Neodiprion lecontei: one gene and its partner. The protein of the gene in region 2 purifies or fractionates together with the protein of the main gene of each other region. This does not show direct contact. Links are inferred from orthologs where the notes say so. Each region holds a gene or a part of one and is shown on either strand. Other genes may lie near its edges.

Region 1 (5,744 bases), on a different chromosome or scaffold from region 2:
GATAGGTATTCTTACCTTCTCCAGGTTGCTCCACACTTTACATGCAGTAGTTCTTGTAGCATCTCAGGTTGAGTGGTGAGGTAACGCCGTATTTACACTGCAATAAGAAAATAACAGAAGATTACTCACACAATATACTTGGACTAGATTTCGCGTGACGGTTTTTTTTTCCATATTATCTCAGTGGTGGCTGCTGCTATTAATAAATGACATGTAGGAATGAATAAAAGAAAGCTAATGAAATGAGCACAAGTAGTGAGTAAATGCACAAAATCAACGAGCAGCTAAAATCATTTACAATCAAAAGCGACATTATAAACAATAATCATATCAATTACGTACCTTCCAATTTTCTTCACTGTAGTGGATGGTTTAGTTTTCACTTTGTTCTCAGAGATCGATTAATCGGGTTACTTTATTTACTTCATTGCTAAATGCGGTTAATGGTGCTGCAGTGTAGTTTGTTCCTGTAATGGGGTAAGATATAACATTTCATTATTATTTTATCGTTTAAATCAATACACGTAGCATTGGAAATGCACCATAGTTTTTATAAAATATAATCAAAAAACTAAACAGCAATAAATTGCGAATAAAAGATCAATTTTCCAGAGTGAAAATAGTGTAAAAGGATAATCAAGGATGAAATAAAACGTGTACCTGCTTTGCGATCTTCCATAACGTTACGACCTGTTCGGTTATTGTATTTTGTTTCCCACATTCATTGCTAAGGTCAAACGATTCAAACTTTAGCTAGAACCTCAATCGATCTCGCTGCAGCTTATTTCTGTAATCAGATCAAAGACCACCCATATGATTTAAATATTTCATATTCAAAATCCATATACTCACGACCAGTGTTAAACAAACGGAATTGTAGTATGTTACATATTACGCTAAGCCTTGGAAAATTTTATCGATTGCCTAAATAATAAAGTGAGAAATAATTTTCATTGTTTTATGCCTGCTACCTTTATGCAATAAATTCATCTGTTCAGCTACCGCATTACATCTTCCAAGATTTATTAACAGGATTTTACAATCCAGCTAATTGCTAACATTAATCAACTTTGTTGCAATCTGTTTCTCTAATCAGGTAGGTTGACGCAATATTTTGTTCATAATATAACTTTAAAATCGATCTAAGCAGCATTCAAAATTTACCAGACTTACTCAAAAAGACAATATAAAATATAAACAACAATCAGCGATTCGTCTTCATTCATTTTTTTCATTAGCGATTATTTTATAAAGTATAAGATGTTGAGTGTAATTTTAACATGTCACCTTATAAGCTACCGACAAGGTCACGACAATTAAAGTCACGAAATAAATAGTAACGCTGTAACGCGTCAACCCTTGTTGCATGGAAGTACGAATCAAAATTCTCAGAAATGCCTCGGTGTTGATAAACAAACGAAGGTCTGTTGATTCGCGAACGGTGAACTGCGCGAGTCACCGCGCTACGCATTATAGGGACGCGAGTACAACTACATGTTAATAACGAAACTCTTTCATTCAGCGTACGTTCCGATAGACTGTTTTTTACGGCAAAATAAACCAAGTCATAATAAACGTGCTAAAATTGCATTTTACAAAGGTCCGTTTGATCAGAAATTGAGAGAGAAAATCGCAACAGAGAATTAACGGGACATTCTCTCGTCACAAAACGCGGTGAACAGTCAAACGTTTGCCCGAGAACAATCTGAATGTGTCAACGAACTATCTAGAAAACTTCAAAATTTTAGAAAGAACTCAAATCACCTTATGCAGACCAAATATTGCGGTACGAATTCTAGACGATCAACGCACGTGGCTCTGCTCCTGCTGCTCGAAAGCGAATGACGCCGCTCACTTACGGAACGAAGTTTCGGGCTGCGCGCGGCGAATGCGCAGAATGCGGCCCGCGTCGTACAAAATTGCTACTCTCCGCAGCGTCAGGCGTAAATATGTATTCTGTATTTTCTGTACTACATAATCTGTAACGCATTTCGGAATTAATTAAATATTTCGCATTAACGCAAAATTAATGGAAAGTACGAGACGAACCGCAAACCTTGTCTCTTTACAATATATATATTACCGGCAACGCTTGCGTTTAGTGAAAGGGTTCTGTTCTGAGCCAAGAATAGCGCTAGTGTCTGCTCCCCGAAGTGTATGAAAACAACATTGTGTTTAGTGACAAGTTTTGGTCAAATTCTGATCAAAATGATCGAGGAACACGATGAGCGGGAGACGATATGTGATTCAGTGGTAAGTAGAGCTGTATTACAACTGCGAAGGATATGAATATTTGACCCCGGAGCAAACGTTGGATGTAATTGTGAATTTTACTAATTCTAACCTCAATTTCAGTCATCACTTGTCGAGGGTTGTCGTTTGCCGGTCAGGATGCAAGACGGCGACGACTGGCGTAAGTTACTTGTAGCCCTGCAAAATTATTTAAAATATTTGGAACTCGTTCCGCTGCCCTCTTCGTTTCTCACACAACGTTTTCTTTTACAGCGCTCGCTGAAATCATCAGCGTCAAAGAGATGCGAGGTGTCAAATGCTACTATGTCCACTATGTGGATTGTAAGTATTCAATTACTGCAATTAGATGACAGGAAACTTTGCAAACATGAATATTCCATAAAACGTATCTTTGTATTATCATGGAATAGCCAGTTGATTAGCTTTTCTGTTAAAAGTTTACTGTCATTAGCCATGAAAACTTGAACTGTCACTGCAAACTTGATATATTTGAATAGTGCACATTGTTTCCCTTCGATATGCCACTCCGAACAACAGGAAATTAAATTATTTCAGTTAACAAACGATTGGACGAGTGGGTGATGGAAAATTGTTTAGATACGCGGAAAGTTCAATTTCCAAGGCGAGATGGTACAGCGCCTGGAACGGGGGCAGCGACACCAAAAAAACAGATTCCTAGCAGGCCGCCGAGTCCAAACAATGTGATACCTGAGCCGGTCAACGGTTCGGCAGTACTGCAGGCAGCGTTACAGAAAAAAATTTCTAGAAAAAGAAAAGCTACATTCTTAGAGAACGAGGATTCTCAAGAAGCACCACCGCAACCTGTACCTGCGGCTACCGGCCCAAGGTCTACCGGTTCACTGGTAGCGCATCACCACGATGATGTTGTAACTAGGATGAAAAATATAGAATTAATTGAATTGGGAAGGCATAGGATAAAACCATGGTATTTCAGCCCGTACCCTCAAGAAATGGTCAGCCTCCAATGTATTTACATATGTGAATTCTGCCTCAAGTATCGAAAGAGTCGAAAATGTCTAGAAAGACACTTGGCAAAATGTAATTTAAGGCATCCGCCTGGAAACGAAATATACAGAAAAGGCTCGATATCGTTCTTTGAAATAGATGGAAGGAAAAACAAGAATTATGCTCAAAATCTTTGTTTATTAGCAAAGTTATTCTTAGATCATAAAACTTTATATTACGACACGGATCCCTTCTTGTTCTATGTTATGACACAATTCGATAGCCGAGGTTTTCATATTGTGGGATATTTTTCGAAGGAGAAAGAATCGACCGAGGATTACAATGTCGCTTGTATTTTGACAATGCCTCCTTACCAGAGAAAGGGTTATGGAAAACTGTTAATTGAATTTTCTTATGAATTATCGAAATTTGAGGGTAAAACTGGATCTCCGGAAAAGCCACTGTCCGACTTGGGGTTATTGTCGTATAGAAGTTACTGGGCCCACACGATACTAGACATTTTACTAAACGTCAAACCCTTAGTCGAGAATGAAAAACCACAGATAACGATAAACGAAATATGTGAACTGACGTCGATAAAAAAAGAAGATGTCATATCAACGCTGCAAAATTTAAACCTCATTAATTACTACAAAGGACAATACATCGTTACGCTTAATAGGTAAGGAGACAACAAATGATCGATTTCATCATCTTCATCGTGATCTAAACTTCTATGAATATACTTGACATCTAACGTTGAACGAAAATTAGTGGAAAAATCATTGAGTTATGATTGTATATTTTCACAGAGATATAATACAGCAACACGCCGCCGCAATGGAGAAGCGTCAGATAGGAATAGACCCAAAATGTCTTCATTGGACACCAAAAGACTGGAGCGTCAGAGCGAAATGGTGAACAAAACTAATATCTTGCAATACAAATACGCTAATGTGATTTAAAATTCGTTTCAGGAATCCTGGAACTGATTATCTACGTCACGCAAGCGTGCAAAATTGTACATAACTCTCGAATTTGTGGGGCTTTTTTTCTCGTTTTAAACCTGCTGTGTCTAGTTTCAAAAATATTGCATGATACATATACACCATATGTATGTATATAATATTGTTAGATGTAAATTCTTATACTTGTACAGATAGAGATCTTGTTAATTATTCATTCCATATGTGTTTTAAGTATAATTGGTTTGCCAACGCTCTTTCTTCTATATTATTTTATTGTATTTAATAATATTTAATAATATAGGAATAACGATAATTAATAATAACAATAATAATAATTATAAGACAACGGCCAGAGCAGTTCGACGTCGGTGTGGTGCGCTTGTTATTTGTTCGGATCTTGTATTTTATGGTACCACTCACGATTGCACAGTTATTATATTAATATACAAAATCGTAGAAAGATCATCTATTTGTATGTCTGATCGTCTGTATGCACGGTAGCGTTGAACAGCTCGTGACCAAACTTAAACTGCGTACAACTTGGGCATAAAATAATAAATCTTCGTCTGCGGCATTGAAGAACAAGCAATGTGGTGAACTTGACTAGATTAATGCCGTCAGTAACCGTATAGTAAGAATGAAACAAGAGAAGTATGCTCAAAAAATGCGAATTTTAGTCTCGACAAGGGAATTCAAAGTTTTACAAATACTATTTTCCTTTTATACGATATGGAAATTGCTCTCGTCACTCAATTTATTCCGTTTGCGTTTCTTTTTCCTTTCAAATGCATTGCCCGGCTAGTTGCCCACTGTTTAAATCCGTTAATACCAGCATTGTCTATACGCTTATTTTTAATTACACCTAAGACTATTTTTAAACGTTGTGGTCGAAAGGTGCAAAGGATCTTTGGTCTGGACATTTCATTCATTCAATAGGTCCAAGTGCACTACCCCATGCATTGATATTAATTTTCTCATACAAGTACGTCAGGCACCAGAAATCAGTGTAGCATGGGGTAAAAAAACAAAAATTATAATAATAACAGTGGTAAGATGTCTACAAATTAAGTATGAACCATAATTACTATCTTTAGTTTATTACAACGTTTAATTGAACCCCTACAAAGTGTTTACCGATTGTAGTATAGTGCCATGGCGGGCTATATCAAAGTTGTTATCGATTATCTGTAAATTGTCTTATCATTGCGTATTTTTGTCTGTATTAAATTTCACGCTTATAGGAGAAAGGAAGAGAGAGAGAGAGAGAGAAAGAGAGAGAGAGAGAGAGAGCGAAAAAGCAAAAAAAAGAGACGCTATGAGAAAAAAAATTATGATTTACAATAAATCAAGCTCATTTCGATTTAATTCGACTAGTTACTTATGTGGTGGACATCAATTGTTGACAGAAAAAGGAGGAACGAGAAAAAATCCCTTTTTTCATAGATTTAATCTACGAACATTGTCAAAATCTTTCGTCTTGTATTTCAGCAAATGTGAAAGATGTTTTTTTTTTTTTAGATTAAGTATTCAATCATGAACGGCGAATCGTAAGATTTA
Region 2 (4,206 bases):
ATTGTGAACGGTTTCTACAGTCCCGACCAAAAGTTACAATTTTGGAGCCTTGAGTCAACAGAGAAACGTTTTGATCAATTTGAATGAATGGTCGATTCGAAGCTTGAATCTGATTGTAAATTAATTCTTTATTCGGTTCTTTGAAAATTTATGATGATCAAACCTGATATCCCTGGACTTAAAAAATTGTGTGCTGCATACGTCAAATAATAAATACGAGAGTATAAGCTGCATGCTTGTTGATGTTATAATCAAAACACTCTTTCTTGAATATAGTCTACACTCTAAATTATCAGAAATAATTGGGCTACTGAAATTGCGGTAAGATGAAAAAGTGACGAGACAAACCAAAAACACTACACAATTATTGAAACCGCTTGTCATTTTTCGTTCGGGTTATTTTTCCATGTCAAGATATCGCTTATGTATGTACAAATAGGTACAATTTTCAAGAAATGTTCCCACCAATTCGTCATACTGTGGGATCAGTTATCAGGTCAATAAAAGTTAGTATTATTATGATAACGCTGCAGGCCATTTATTGTTTGTCACCTTTGATCTACTCACTTATCAAAATTGAAACAAAAAAATTCGCGAAATAATACAATGGCAAAAATTAATACATAAATATAAAAAACAGTTTGAAAAACGAAGGATGCCGTCAAACATAAGCATCATACAATGAATCATACACATAACGCGATTCATTTATTCAATACTGAAAAAAAAGAAACAAAATAAATTCAACTTGCAATTTTGTTCAGTGCTTTTAAACATCTGATCTTGCCAATTTTTAGTGAATGTAAATAAATGTGTTGCATTGAATTGTCAGGTTTTATAAGGTCAAATGTAAGTTCGTGCTCGCACTAATGTAATATCTTAATTTAGTATTCTTGAGAGGCCTTGTCTCCCTTGCCAGATCCACTGCTACTTCCAGTCTTTTTAGGCAATAAAACTGCCTGGATGTTGGGCAGAACACCACCCTGTGCAATAGTCACTCCAGAAAGCAGTTTGTTCAATTCTTCATCATTACGAATGGCTAGTTGGAGGTGACGAGGGATTATTCTGTAAAATAAAACATAAATATGGTCAATAAATCCAATTTCCTGAAGTAAATGTTGTACGTCTGACTGCAGGATTTTTCAAATATCTGTGTGTACGCATAGTTCAGTTACATGAAATCGGGTACTGTTTTCCCAAATCGAGAATTCCATTTAGAAAACGTGTAGATTGTCATAGTGATTTAGGAGAAGGGGGAGAGTTTGGTTGGTGCAAAAACAAGTTTCTTTGCATTAGGTTGAAATGGAAGTGTTCGGCCATGTTCACGTATAAATACATTCATACATACACCAATTTTATCACACGAATTATTACACACTGTACTGTTATTAGGATTAATTTCAAAGCAGTTCTTCATGTGTACAATGTATGTTCAATGTATCTTCATAGGAGACAAATGATTGTACCGAAACAGAGGAAAAACACGGCACGCGATAATAACGACGCAAATTCTGCTCGATTCCGTAAGAAATGTTAAACCTACTTTGGTTGAGATTTATCATATTATACAGTGAAGAAATTGTAGTGAATAAGAGAAAATGAAGGAGTAATCTGTGGGTTGTCTATACTTCTGAACTATGGTATTGTGGTTGTGAAAATAAGGGTGCTGATAGGACTAACCTCGTCTTCTTGTTGTCTCTCGCAGCATTTCCAGCCAACTCGAGAACTTCGGCGGCCAAATATTCCATGACCGCAGCTAGGTAAACCGGAGCACCGGCTCCGACACGTTCGGCATAGTTTCCTTTCCTCAGGAGCCGGTGAATACGACCTACGGGAAATTGAAGCCCAGCCCTGCTGCTGCGAGTCTTCGCCTTTCCCTTGGTCTTGCCTTTAAAAATCAATAAGAAACTTTTAATGCGTCCTGTTGTTCGAGAATCTGGCTAATTATTTCTCGGAAGCTTTGATACTACTCACCTCCTTTACCACGACCGGACATATTTCGAGATTGATTCTACACGGATAGAAAGTCTAATCACAACTGCAACCTCTTCCTACCGTTACCGAACAGCAAATGATGTCGGATGTCACGTATTTTGGCGCCCACTGTCTTGATAGCGCTCGTTTGCGCGGGAAAATTTTTTGACACGGAAGGCTGTGGAATTCGTATTATTTCATTCCGACAGATGGCAGCACCATACTTTGAAAACAAAAAAGCATGAGAAGCGTTACCTCATTGGTTAGTATCTAGAATTAAACCAATCGAACGTCGTCCTTGTCCTCTCCTATTTTTATGAGACTCGCAAATAAAACGCACCATTTGAAAAAGCTTTCTTGTATTTATGGATACATATAATTTATGCTTCAATTATGGCAATTGGAAGATTTAAAAACAAAAAAACTGACTACATAAAGCGTCGACCGAAAATATACATATTATGTACGGTGAATTACCTTCTCGACTGATTTCTTTTCATAAGAATTTATAAGATAATTTCAAAGACTACTTTAATATTTTACAATTAACTTTTAATAAAAGGGAGATAAAGGAGGCAGACAAAGTGTTTTCGAACAGTTTACTTTTAGGCTCTTGTTCTGGCCAGAAAGGTACCTGCAGATTTCTACAGATGCCTTAATATTACACAATACATAAAAATAATGATATTTACAAATGTAGGCACTCAATGAACAAAACGTTGAAAACACAGACAAAATTGATTTGCGGGTTATAACAGGGAAGGCGGGTAGATATGATGCTACATTATACGGAGCAAGGAGATAATCAATTTAGAGAGCACAATGAGAGATTTGAATCAGTACGCCAAATTATTCGAAAATGTGAAAACAAGAAAGAAAGAACTAAATAGGACCCAGGTGAAGTATAATAATTACGGTCTGCCAAGAAATGGATGATATTAAATAAAAATGTTATTTCACGTTTACTCATATTTTTTCAAGGTCCGTTCAATACATGGAATGTTAAAGGTTTAGCGGGTAACAAGCATTTTCATGGAATGTACTCACGCAATTTTGTGGTAAAAGTCAAGTCATTTTTTTTTATAACCTTGTTTTTTGTTAAGTACCTCAACATCGTTTTTCACTTCTTTGAAATTCACTGGCCATTGCAGACATTATTATTATTATTGTAAGTATTCAACATAGAATTGAAGGAGGTTCTTATTATTCTTATTCAATGGTTGAGTCTACAGTTTATACAAATTGCAATACATGTGTTCGAAAAATTATGCGAATTCCAAATAATTATTAGCGTTTCAATTATTACATACGGAAAATATTGAACCACAAAAAGTGCCCGTTTCGAGAAGACACTGGTGTACTTACAACAAATTAGAAGTATCTTTCAGAGGTTCATCAAATGGCGAATGTTCGATAAACAATTTTACTTCAATATAAAAGATATTCGCATTGTTTAAAAATCAATTATCTTCGATTTTGCAGTTATTAAATTGAGATCCTTCTCTTCTATGTTTATCTTATCAATACACATGCTACTAATCAGTAAACGTGCGAATCATATGATAGAATATCCTTTTCAATATTTAAATACAAGTCCACATTACAGAGAATAAAATAAGTTACATGAGTTCTCTCTATATTCAATAAAATATTATACAAATTATAATTATTTATCTTATACCTTGGGTTAAAGAGCCGTCAGTAAAAATTATGAAACACTAAAACTTCCTTATTAATTGAAGAGAAATTTGTATTTTGATTCGTTTTCTTTACACTTCATTTTTACACGTTCGTATCATATTGATATGATTACTTACAACACTTTAAACACTAGTCCCCTCTGATTTCATACACAATATTCAACATGTCTTTCAAATAGCATATTCTAATCAGACTCTTTTTACGAGTTGTTTTAGAAATGGTTAAGACACGTTTAAACTCCATGTAACAATCGCTATGTAAAAGAATGCCTAAATATCGAATAACTAAAATTTCTGGATTTAGAAAAACTACCAGTATAGCTTTAATTCATTACAAATAAAGTAAACTGTGATAAAAGACTAAAAAAATGCTGTACACTTGGTCAATGTAATCTTACATTTACTTATCTAAAATTGTTAAAAAATTGTTTGTCGTTTCAACTATTTAGATACCAACGGCTCTCTTAACCCGTCGATAATATCACAGATGAATGAGTTTCCGTGTTGTGCGTCGCGTATTGCTACCTCAGGG

The links.
Region 1: the proteins of histone H2A (region 2) and histone acetyltransferase Tip60 purify together in Homo sapiens (affinity purification with western blotting; 3 studies listed by BioGRID and IntAct, with this or other methods). This does not show direct contact. The link is inferred for Neodiprion lecontei from reciprocal best matches to the Homo sapiens genes H2AX and KAT5.

Annotation. Positions count from the first base shown.
Region 1 is NC_060265.1:23,412,226-23,417,969, reverse strand, and holds histone acetyltransferase Tip60, read left to right. Parts: upstream 1-1,969; 5' UTR 1,970-2,157; coding exon 2,158-2,253; intron 2,254-2,355; coding exon 2,356-2,413; intron 2,414-2,505; coding exon 2,506-2,574; intron 2,575-2,808; coding exon 2,809-3,901; intron 3,902-4,031; coding exon 4,032-4,136; intron 4,137-4,196; coding exon 4,197-4,248; 3' UTR 4,249-5,193; downstream 5,194-5,744. UniProt on the Homo sapiens protein: Catalytic subunit of the NuA4 histone acetyltransferase complex, a multiprotein complex involved in transcriptional activation of select genes principally by acetylation of nucleosomal histones H2A and H4.
Region 2 is NC_060262.1:40,434,837-40,439,042, forward strand, and holds histone H2A, read right to left. Parts: upstream 2,135-4,206; 5' UTR 1,997-2,134; coding exon 1,975-1,996; intron 1,889-1,974; coding exon 1,681-1,888; intron 1,066-1,680; coding exon 885-1,065; 3' UTR 514-884; downstream 1-513. Other genes in the region: uncharacterized protein LOC107223647, read right to left, coding at 4,196-4,206. UniProt on the Homo sapiens protein: Variant histone H2A which replaces conventional H2A in a subset of nucleosomes. Nucleosomes wrap and compact DNA into chromatin, limiting DNA accessibility to the cellular machineries which require DNA as a template.